Oryza sativa Japonica Group: one gene and its partner. The protein of the gene in region 2 binds, or shares a complex with, the protein of the main gene of each other region. Links are inferred from orthologs where the notes say so. Each region holds a gene or a part of one and is shown on either strand. Other genes may lie near its edges.

Region 1 (4,271 bases), on a different chromosome or scaffold from region 2:
GCCAGTGCCTATACCTCAGAAGGCATGAGAGAATTTCTGCGGTTGACATCGTGGTGCGTGAACCCGACGAGCGAGCATCGCCCATCGATGAACTTGGTGGAGGCGGAGATAAACCGAATTCGCGAGCAAGAGATGAGGATGACCACAATCATGCCAGAAAGCACACCAACTGTGACTCTAGGTAGTCAGCTCTTCACAACATCAGGTTGAAGAAGAACTAGCTAGTTTCCTCTCATCATCAGAGTTATAGACTAGCAATTCCCTTTCCATTTATTATTTCTCTCTCTCTTTTCTTTGGTCTTCATAGTGATTCAGCTGTAACTCAAGTGTACAAAAAAGGAACAGCTGTGAGGTTCCCTTTATTCCTTTTCCTGTACAAGAAAAGAATGATATTTCCTTTTCTTTTACATATTGATAATATTGGAGGCTGATGCCAAAGTTATTCCATTATACTACTATATATATCTATTGAATTAGTGATGTCATTCACAGGATTTTCTCCATTACATTGGGGGGAAAACAAAATACACATGACAGAATTTTCAGTCTCCTTTTGTACCTGGCTGAGAACTTCAGAGTTGAGACTGTCAGAGACATAGAAAGCAGGCCTTACAGTAGATGAGATGATCCATACACACATCATTTCATCTCAAAGTTCTTTATTTTGAAGAGACTCATCTTGCAGCTTTGCCACCCTGCTTTTCTTTGGAGTGGTTCTGATTTTCTGAACTGTTTCTGCAGCTGCATCTAACAAATGTGACCCCCCATTTCTGAATACCATATCTAAGACGATTTCACAATCTCATCTCTTCTGTCGACGGTGAAGTCCCAGAGCTCGCCGTACTTCTCGTTGAAGTCCCAGATGTCCATGGTGTTGTAGTCGGCGATGAGCTTGTCGCGAGCCGATCTCTCCATCATGTAGATCTCCGGCTCAAAGTTGTGTGGCTTGTCCGGTTTGTCCATCTCGATAACGCAGAACACGACGACGAACACTGCTGCGCCGATGTAGAGGTACTCCCCCTAGTGGCAGAAGTAGACACATATTCAGAGAGCTCAAGAGCCAAGACAGATTGTGAAATGTGATACATGTCAGTAGGCTGGAACTACTGCTCAATATGTTACCGGAACATTGAAGGCCATGCCAAGGATGATTGCAGGAGGAAACAACCAGGAGATCAGTGCTGCAAGAGATGGCCCATCAGTGCAAATTGAGCAAGCTTGTCTTAAGAGAAGAAAGATCTGATTTTTTTTCTCTGATTTATCTGAAAGAATCTGATTTTTCTCTGATTTATCCAAGTGAGAAAGGAATTTGGCTGTTACTACCTTGGAAGCCCTGAGGAGGTTCAGCTTCTTGGTACCACTCAGAGACATCCTCCCAAAAGCCCTTCTTATCTTCAGTGTCAAATGATTTTTTTTTCCACATCATATCACATAAGAATCAGAAATTAGCACACATGAGCATGATTACGCATTTTGATTCAAGGAATGGATAACTGGATAAGATAGCCCAGAAAAAGAACCTTGGGTTTCATTATATGTGTGGTGACCATCATACACTCCATACTCGAAGTCGTCCTGCAAAGCAGATTCTTTTCAGTGTCAAAACCATTTCTTCAGACAACACAGCACAGCAGCAGCAATCACTGAAGAAAGAATCAAAGAAACCATGGAAACTGCTTGGAATAGAGAAAAATAATGAAATTCTCAACACGGTGGCCGGCGACGGCGAGGAGGACAGACCGGGCTGACGCCGTTGGTGCGCCACTTATCAATGGGGTCCTCGTTCAGGTCGGGCTCGATCTCCGTCAGTGGCCCGGGCCCCGCCCTCGCCACCACCGCCCGGCCTCTGCTCCGGCAGCAGCAGCAGCCGCCATGCTCCGTCTTTAGCTGCCTCGCTGCTACTGCTGCTGCTGCTGCTGCTCCTGTTGCTGTTGCTGCATCGTCATGACGAAGGCGAGCTTTTGCAGTGGCAGACGGTGACGCAGAAATGGCGGACACCAAGCTGCTGCTGCTGCTCATCATCTCGCTCCAAACGCTGAGCTCTGCTGCTCGCTTCTTGCTTAGCTGGTAGCTGCTGCTGCACTTATACTTTGCTGCAAGGAGACAAAAACAAGAGGATAATGGGTATGGGGCATGTACCGTCCAGGATTTTTCGCTGCTTTTTTCCTCTTTTCTTTCTTTTTCTTCATGCCTGGAAAGAAATCTGCATCACCTCATTAGTCAGTCAGTAATCAGGTCAGATATGCATGATAATCTTGTGAATGAATAGAACTAGTATTTGTTAGTACTACATTATTGCATTCTGATGAATCTGAATTGTTAGCAACAGCAAGCACAGAGCCTTGTGTTTTACACATCAGGAGAGACAAGGAAAAGACAACTGCAACATGAGGACATGATTTGTAAATGAAAAGAGCAGAAAAAGAACCAGCAACCCAGTGTCACTGTGTCGGACGTCACTGATTCAGTGGCTGAGATACAGTGCACCATCAGCAGCGCTTTTTCACTGCTTCAGTATGCTTTTTATGCGTCATACTTGGCTCTTGTGCCTTGAGTTAGCAGGCTGCTGCATTTCTTGTAGGAGTATTCATTAACTGAACAAACAAGGCAGCAGTTCATGAACCTCTTTCCACATTTTTTTTTACTGAAATCTTTCCACATTTTGTTCCAAGAAGAAACTAAATTTCTTACAACATGCATTAAACATTGCATAATACAGCAGGTCCTACAACAGAACAACAATAGCATATCTGCTCAACTTCCATCGGAGAATTATTCCGCAGCCGTCCAGGACCTATTGCCCCCCTAAACTGCAAAGAAATCAGTGTCAGGACTTCTTGGAGTATTCCAGAAACAATATAATGTCCCATCCAAAAAACCAGAAACAATCTAATGATGGAAGCCTAGAGTCCACCAAAGGATTACCTGGTTCAAATAGAATTGGATAACTAGCTTTGTCTGGCCTTCATAACCAGCTCTTCTGTAGTAGCGCCAATGATCTCATTGGCACGCTTCAGAGATAGACAGCATATTCTTCCAATAGAATCCTGCAAGCATCACTGGCTTTATTATCCATGATTAAAATAGAGAAAATGCGAGTAACAACATAATGGTATTTCATTTAAAAATTCTTTTAGATTCTATACATTCTGAAATTTATCTAAGTTTTTTTTGGGGATATATATCTCACTATGATTTGGTACTGCTGTAACAAGCTGTAAGAACTCACTCTTGTAATGATGCCAAGCCTCTCTAACTTCTGAACAGCATCCATCACCTCAAAATTGCATTGCAAGCCAAACTCTTCTTGGATTAACTCTTCACATTGTAAGTCAAGATCCTAGCATTGAGTGCCAAGAATATTCAACTCAATTTTTATACTTGCACAACTTCAGAAACAAAACATGCTTGTTTCAAATACCAAAGCAATACCTCAATAGTCGCCTTTCCATTTTCCATCAAAATATAGTAGGAAATTATAATCTCCTTGACCTGGACATCAGAATTCAGAAACCACAAAGATGAAAATAATTGTGAGCACAAGTCTCTGATATGCTTATTCTGAATCAAGTACTACAATATGGAGACCTACTTCCTGCTGAATCACATCATCACAGAGATGGAGAAGTGTGCCTTTCCCACTATCTAGCTGTTTGTCATACATTGATTGAGTTATTAGGTTTTGATATGTTGCCATGTTCTGTTGAAACCTGAATCAAAGGTAGCTTATTTACCAAATTTGTCCAATACAACCAATACAGCAAATAAAGTATCATCATAAATAAGAAAATGCTGAAGGAATCAGGGAAGCAAAACTGCATTTTATGGAGGTATTCTAAAGTAATTCTGGCTGGATGAGTAAACAAAAATCCTCCCTGTCCCTGCTCTATTATATACACAATGCAGATTACCGACAAGATGACAAGACGAATACCCAATCAAAACAAATATATCAACCAAGGCACTCACGATAAATAGATCTTGGCACAATATCCAGCCAGGGCAGAAAGGACGGCAACTACAACCCAGAAATCAGCTTTAGGCATTTCGAGCGAACTGACAAGTGTAACCTGAGCAATGTGAAAAAAATAATCATCAGGTGATGAATCACAACCCAATCAAGTGCAACCAGTTCCAGTCCACTTACAAGTCCAATGACAACAGAAACAATAAACTGAACCCAGTCCATTGGTGTGAGGCTTGGATTTTTCTTCTCAGGCTGCAACAGTCATAATTTCTCTTCAGCATAAGTCCAATTGAAGAAAGCAATA
Region 2 (3,620 bases):
TTCTGAGTGTTAATTCTTGTTCTTCCAGCAAACTTGCTGCTCATGAGGCCCAGAAAAAGCTGGAGAAGGAAGAGGAGGATGAGAAGCGTATGCTGCAAAAGTCCAAGGAGTTGGACGCTTTTGATCAGCAGAATCATGGAGCCGTCCCCCAATACCACGATCGCAGCGGCTCTGAAGACAAGAATGGTTTTCATGGAGCAAACAGCGTGAAGGTTACTTCCTTTGAGGAGGAAGCCCTTCGCAACATGAAGGCATTCTGGCTTCCATCAGCTACACCTGAAGCTACTGCCAAAGTAGAAGCTCCCTCCACTGACACAATCTGCCCCGAGGGACAGGAGAAGCTCAAGTTGAAATCGCTCTTCCCTATCTCCTTCACTGAAGAAAACACCGACCAGAAAAACAAGAAGTCGGTGGAGAAGAGCTACATGTGCCCCAGTTGCAAGTCTACCCTAACAAACACCATGTCCCTGGTGACGATCAGCACGTGTGGCCATGTCTTCTGCAAGAAGTGCTCTGACAAGTTCCTTGTAACTGATAAGGTCTGCTTGGTGTGCAACAAACCGTGCAAGGAGAGGAATTTCGTTCCTTTGGAAAAAGGAGGAACTGGATTCGCTGCCCATGATGAGCGTCTAGAGGCGAGAGATTTCAAGCATTTGGGGAGTGGTTCTGGACTGGGTTTAGTGAAACCTGCCCCAAAGAACTACTAGCCTCAAAATATCTTAGCTGCTGTTGTATATTATTTATGTTAACCTGAAAATTTTGTTTCAAGCATCCCCTTTCGCTGTGAACAGTCTGGAGCAAATTCAGTCTTGTTATGCTAGTGGCACTATGGTTGCTAATTGCAGCTTTGCTTATTTGCTATGGCTAAATGCGTTAGTTCGCAGCTGTTGTACTATTTATCTACCAAGTTTGAAGCACAGTCAAAATCATCTTTCTTGTTACATCGAAGCTATCGAATATGTATCGCATGATCTGATGGTAGGATCGTGTGTGTGTGTGTGTACATATATTGTTTTTCAGCCAAAGTCAATGTACAAAAAAAAAGGTAAAAAGAGAATTGGAAAAACATAAAGCTCTCACATATCTCCACCACAATCACAACAGGAACGGATTGGTCCCATTTTGTCAGTCAGTGCTCAGTACGAGACAAGGCCAAAAGTTCTAATGAGGATAATGGAAATGCTGACCTGGCTTCCTTGCCCTCCACTCACACAGACACACAGACTACACTTGAAAAGCGAACGAGCCAGTCCTAGCAGCAAAGGATAACTTGACTGGAGGAAGGCAAGAACACGTATTTTCTTCAGGTTCATAGCTACTCCTGCAGGTGAAATGGCAAGCCTGCAGAATTTGATCTGCTCCGTTTCCAAGCAGGTGTGTGCTTGTGCCCTCTTCTCATCGTTTTCTGAATCTTGTTTATTTCACCACTTTATATCGGTGTTGTTTTCAGTTGGTTGCTCCAAATTGTGCTGTTACCAGCAAGCTGAATGCGTCTCCTCTGTCAGTCGTCAACGCTAGCTCGAGTGAAGCATCCTCGGATGAAAAGAGTAAATTCCTCTCTGTCAGTTCTCTCGATGCATTTTGTTTCTGAAGATTAACATTTTTTTTGGCTGATTATCTCTCCATCTTACAGATGTGACAAGGAGGAGATTAGCTCTGCTTGGTGCTGGAGCATTAGCCACTGGTCTGCTAAAGAGCAGCTCTGCATATGCTGAAGGCATGGCCATCTGAACTGTCGCATGGTTTTATTTCAGTACTAGGTTGTCTGCATGTTACATACAAGTTCCCACTTCTCAAGTAGCCATTAAGCCTTTATGGCACCATGAGATGATACTAACTCGGATTGTTCCTATATTCCAGAAGTGCCAAAGAATTACAAGTCTTATGTGGATTCAAAAGATGGATATTCATACCTGTATCCAGCTGATTGGAGGGTAGGTTGCAATATTTTCGTCTTGAAGAACAGAGATGTCAGTTCCAATGACTGTGTTTTCGGTGGTACATGGTATTGATGTATGCCCTTTGTTTTGATGTGTCACTTCAGGATTTCGACTTCCTGGGGCATGATTCAGCGTTCAAAGATCGTAATGTAGCGCTGCAGTGCGTGCGTGTGGGCTTCATTCCTACTACAAAAACAGATATCCGTGACCTTGGTCCAATGGATGAGGTAGGATTTCATGCGATATCTGATAATATCTTTCTTGGTAATGTAAAGGAATCAGGCAATTTTTTTAGCCTTTTCTTTTGTTATACATCATAGATTTTTTTTATTCTGACAATTTACATACTCCTCTATCAGGCGATCTTCAATTTGGTGAACAATGTTTATGCTGCTCCAAATCAAATACCAACTGTCTATGACATGCAAGAGGTTTGCCATTTATCCATCTCCTTCAATCAATACTATTTAGCCATATGATCTATCTGAGTATACCAAACTGTCGCTGCATTGCTCTTTCGCTGATTAATTTACGTCTGATCTCATTGGAATGGCTATAACAAAGACTGCAACAACTCTGCAAGCAAAATAAGCAACTGAGTTGTTGTGATTCGCAGCGCACCGTGGATGGCAAGAACTACTGGACATTTGAGTACGATCTTGAGGCCCCGGGCTACGGCGTGTCCGCATTTGCGACGGTTGCCATTGGAAACGGTATGATATTGATATGATGCCTCCTCACCACAAGATCGCAGAGATATATATCATCATCATCTATTAAATTGTATATTTCATCATGCATGTATTTTTTTTTCCTCTCATAAGAAGAAGCTGGTTAACCTGATGGCAATGGCAATGGCATGGCAGGTCGGTACTACACACTGATCGTGACGGCGAACGAGCGGCGATGGAGTAGGCTGAGGAACAGGCTCAAAGTCGTCGCCGACTCCTTCAAGCTGTCCGACCTCACCGCGTGATGGGAGGCAGTTCAATTGCAGAAATATCTTTTATTTTATTGCTTCGTAGTCATGTAGATACATACATACATACAGACGCTGATCTACCACTAGAAAAAGTGCTGGATCGAACACCCTGGCTCAGCTTCCAGGAAAAAGGATGCATAATTACCTTATAGACTTCAATTAATTAATTGTGTGTATGCTATTAGAGCTATTTTTCTATTATAGCCATCTAATTATGTTGATTGAATCGGTTCAACCATCAGTTGCAACTTGCAAGCGACGAGTAGCCATCAGTTAAAAAGGCAGACCATTAGGCCATAGTCTCCGGAGCCAAGGACTTAACAGATCAACAGCGTTTCTATACAGACGTGTGCACGATCAAACCAATACATTACAGAGGCGAAAGGAATCAAGTACACAGGCCTCAGAAAGAATGTTTGCAACTCATATATTACAACAATTACAATGCCCTCCAAACTTGCTAACTATTTCCAGAATAAGTTCCCCTCCAAACCCGCTAACTATTTCCAGAATAAGTTCCTAGAGTTTCAACAAAGCTAGTCATCTGAATCTTCAGACTAAAATTTTGTTGTCAAGACCAGGTCACCATTCCGCTCATTCAGAGCAGCGCCAGCGACACCTAACATTTTTCCTCCGACAAAACGGTAAGCCACAGAACCATGACCCCTGGCTGAACAGAGCGAAAAGGAACTTGATCA

Evidence for each region.
Region 1: photosynthetic NDH subunit of lumenal location 1, chloroplastic (region 2) and photosynthetic NDH subunit of subcomplex B 5, chloroplastic share a complex: the UniProt entries of both Arabidopsis thaliana proteins name them as parts of the chloroplast NDH complex. The link is inferred for Oryza sativa Japonica Group from reciprocal best matches to the Arabidopsis thaliana genes PnsL1 and PnsB5.

Annotation. Positions count from the first base shown.
Region 1 is NC_089035.1:41,426,965-41,431,235, reverse strand, and holds photosynthetic NDH subunit of subcomplex B 5, chloroplastic, read right to left. Parts: upstream 2,801-4,271; 5' UTR 2,023-2,800; coding exon 1,741-2,022; intron 1,576-1,740; coding exon 1,521-1,575; intron 1,393-1,520; coding exon 1,324-1,392; intron 1,182-1,323; coding exon 1,123-1,181; intron 1,021-1,122; coding exon 784-1,020; 3' UTR 440-783; downstream 1-439. Other genes in the region: serine/threonine-protein kinase-like protein ACR4, read left to right, coding at 1-210; uncharacterized protein, read right to left, coding at 2,949-3,047, 3,230-3,340, 3,433-3,492, 3,593-3,710, 3,970-4,070, 4,148-4,219. UniProt on the Arabidopsis thaliana protein: NDH shuttles electrons from NAD(P)H:plastoquinone, via FMN and iron-sulfur (Fe-S) centers, to quinones in the photosynthetic chain and possibly in a chloroplast respiratory chain.
Region 2 is NC_089037.1:9,604,753-9,608,372, forward strand, and holds photosynthetic NDH subunit of lumenal location 1, chloroplastic, read left to right. Parts: upstream 1-1,212; 5' UTR 1,213-1,332; coding exon 1,333-1,374; intron 1,375-1,450; coding exon 1,451-1,547; intron 1,548-1,633; coding exon 1,634-1,717; intron 1,718-1,860; coding exon 1,861-1,934; intron 1,935-2,044; coding exon 2,045-2,167; intron 2,168-2,299; coding exon 2,300-2,371; intron 2,372-2,556; coding exon 2,557-2,653; intron 2,654-2,806; coding exon 2,807-2,916; 3' UTR 2,917-3,120; downstream 3,121-3,620. Other genes in the region: E3 ubiquitin-protein ligase CSU1, read left to right, coding at 29-707. UniProt on the Arabidopsis thaliana protein: NDH shuttles electrons from NAD(P)H:plastoquinone, via FMN and iron-sulfur (Fe-S) centers, to quinones in the photosynthetic chain and possibly in a chloroplast respiratory chain.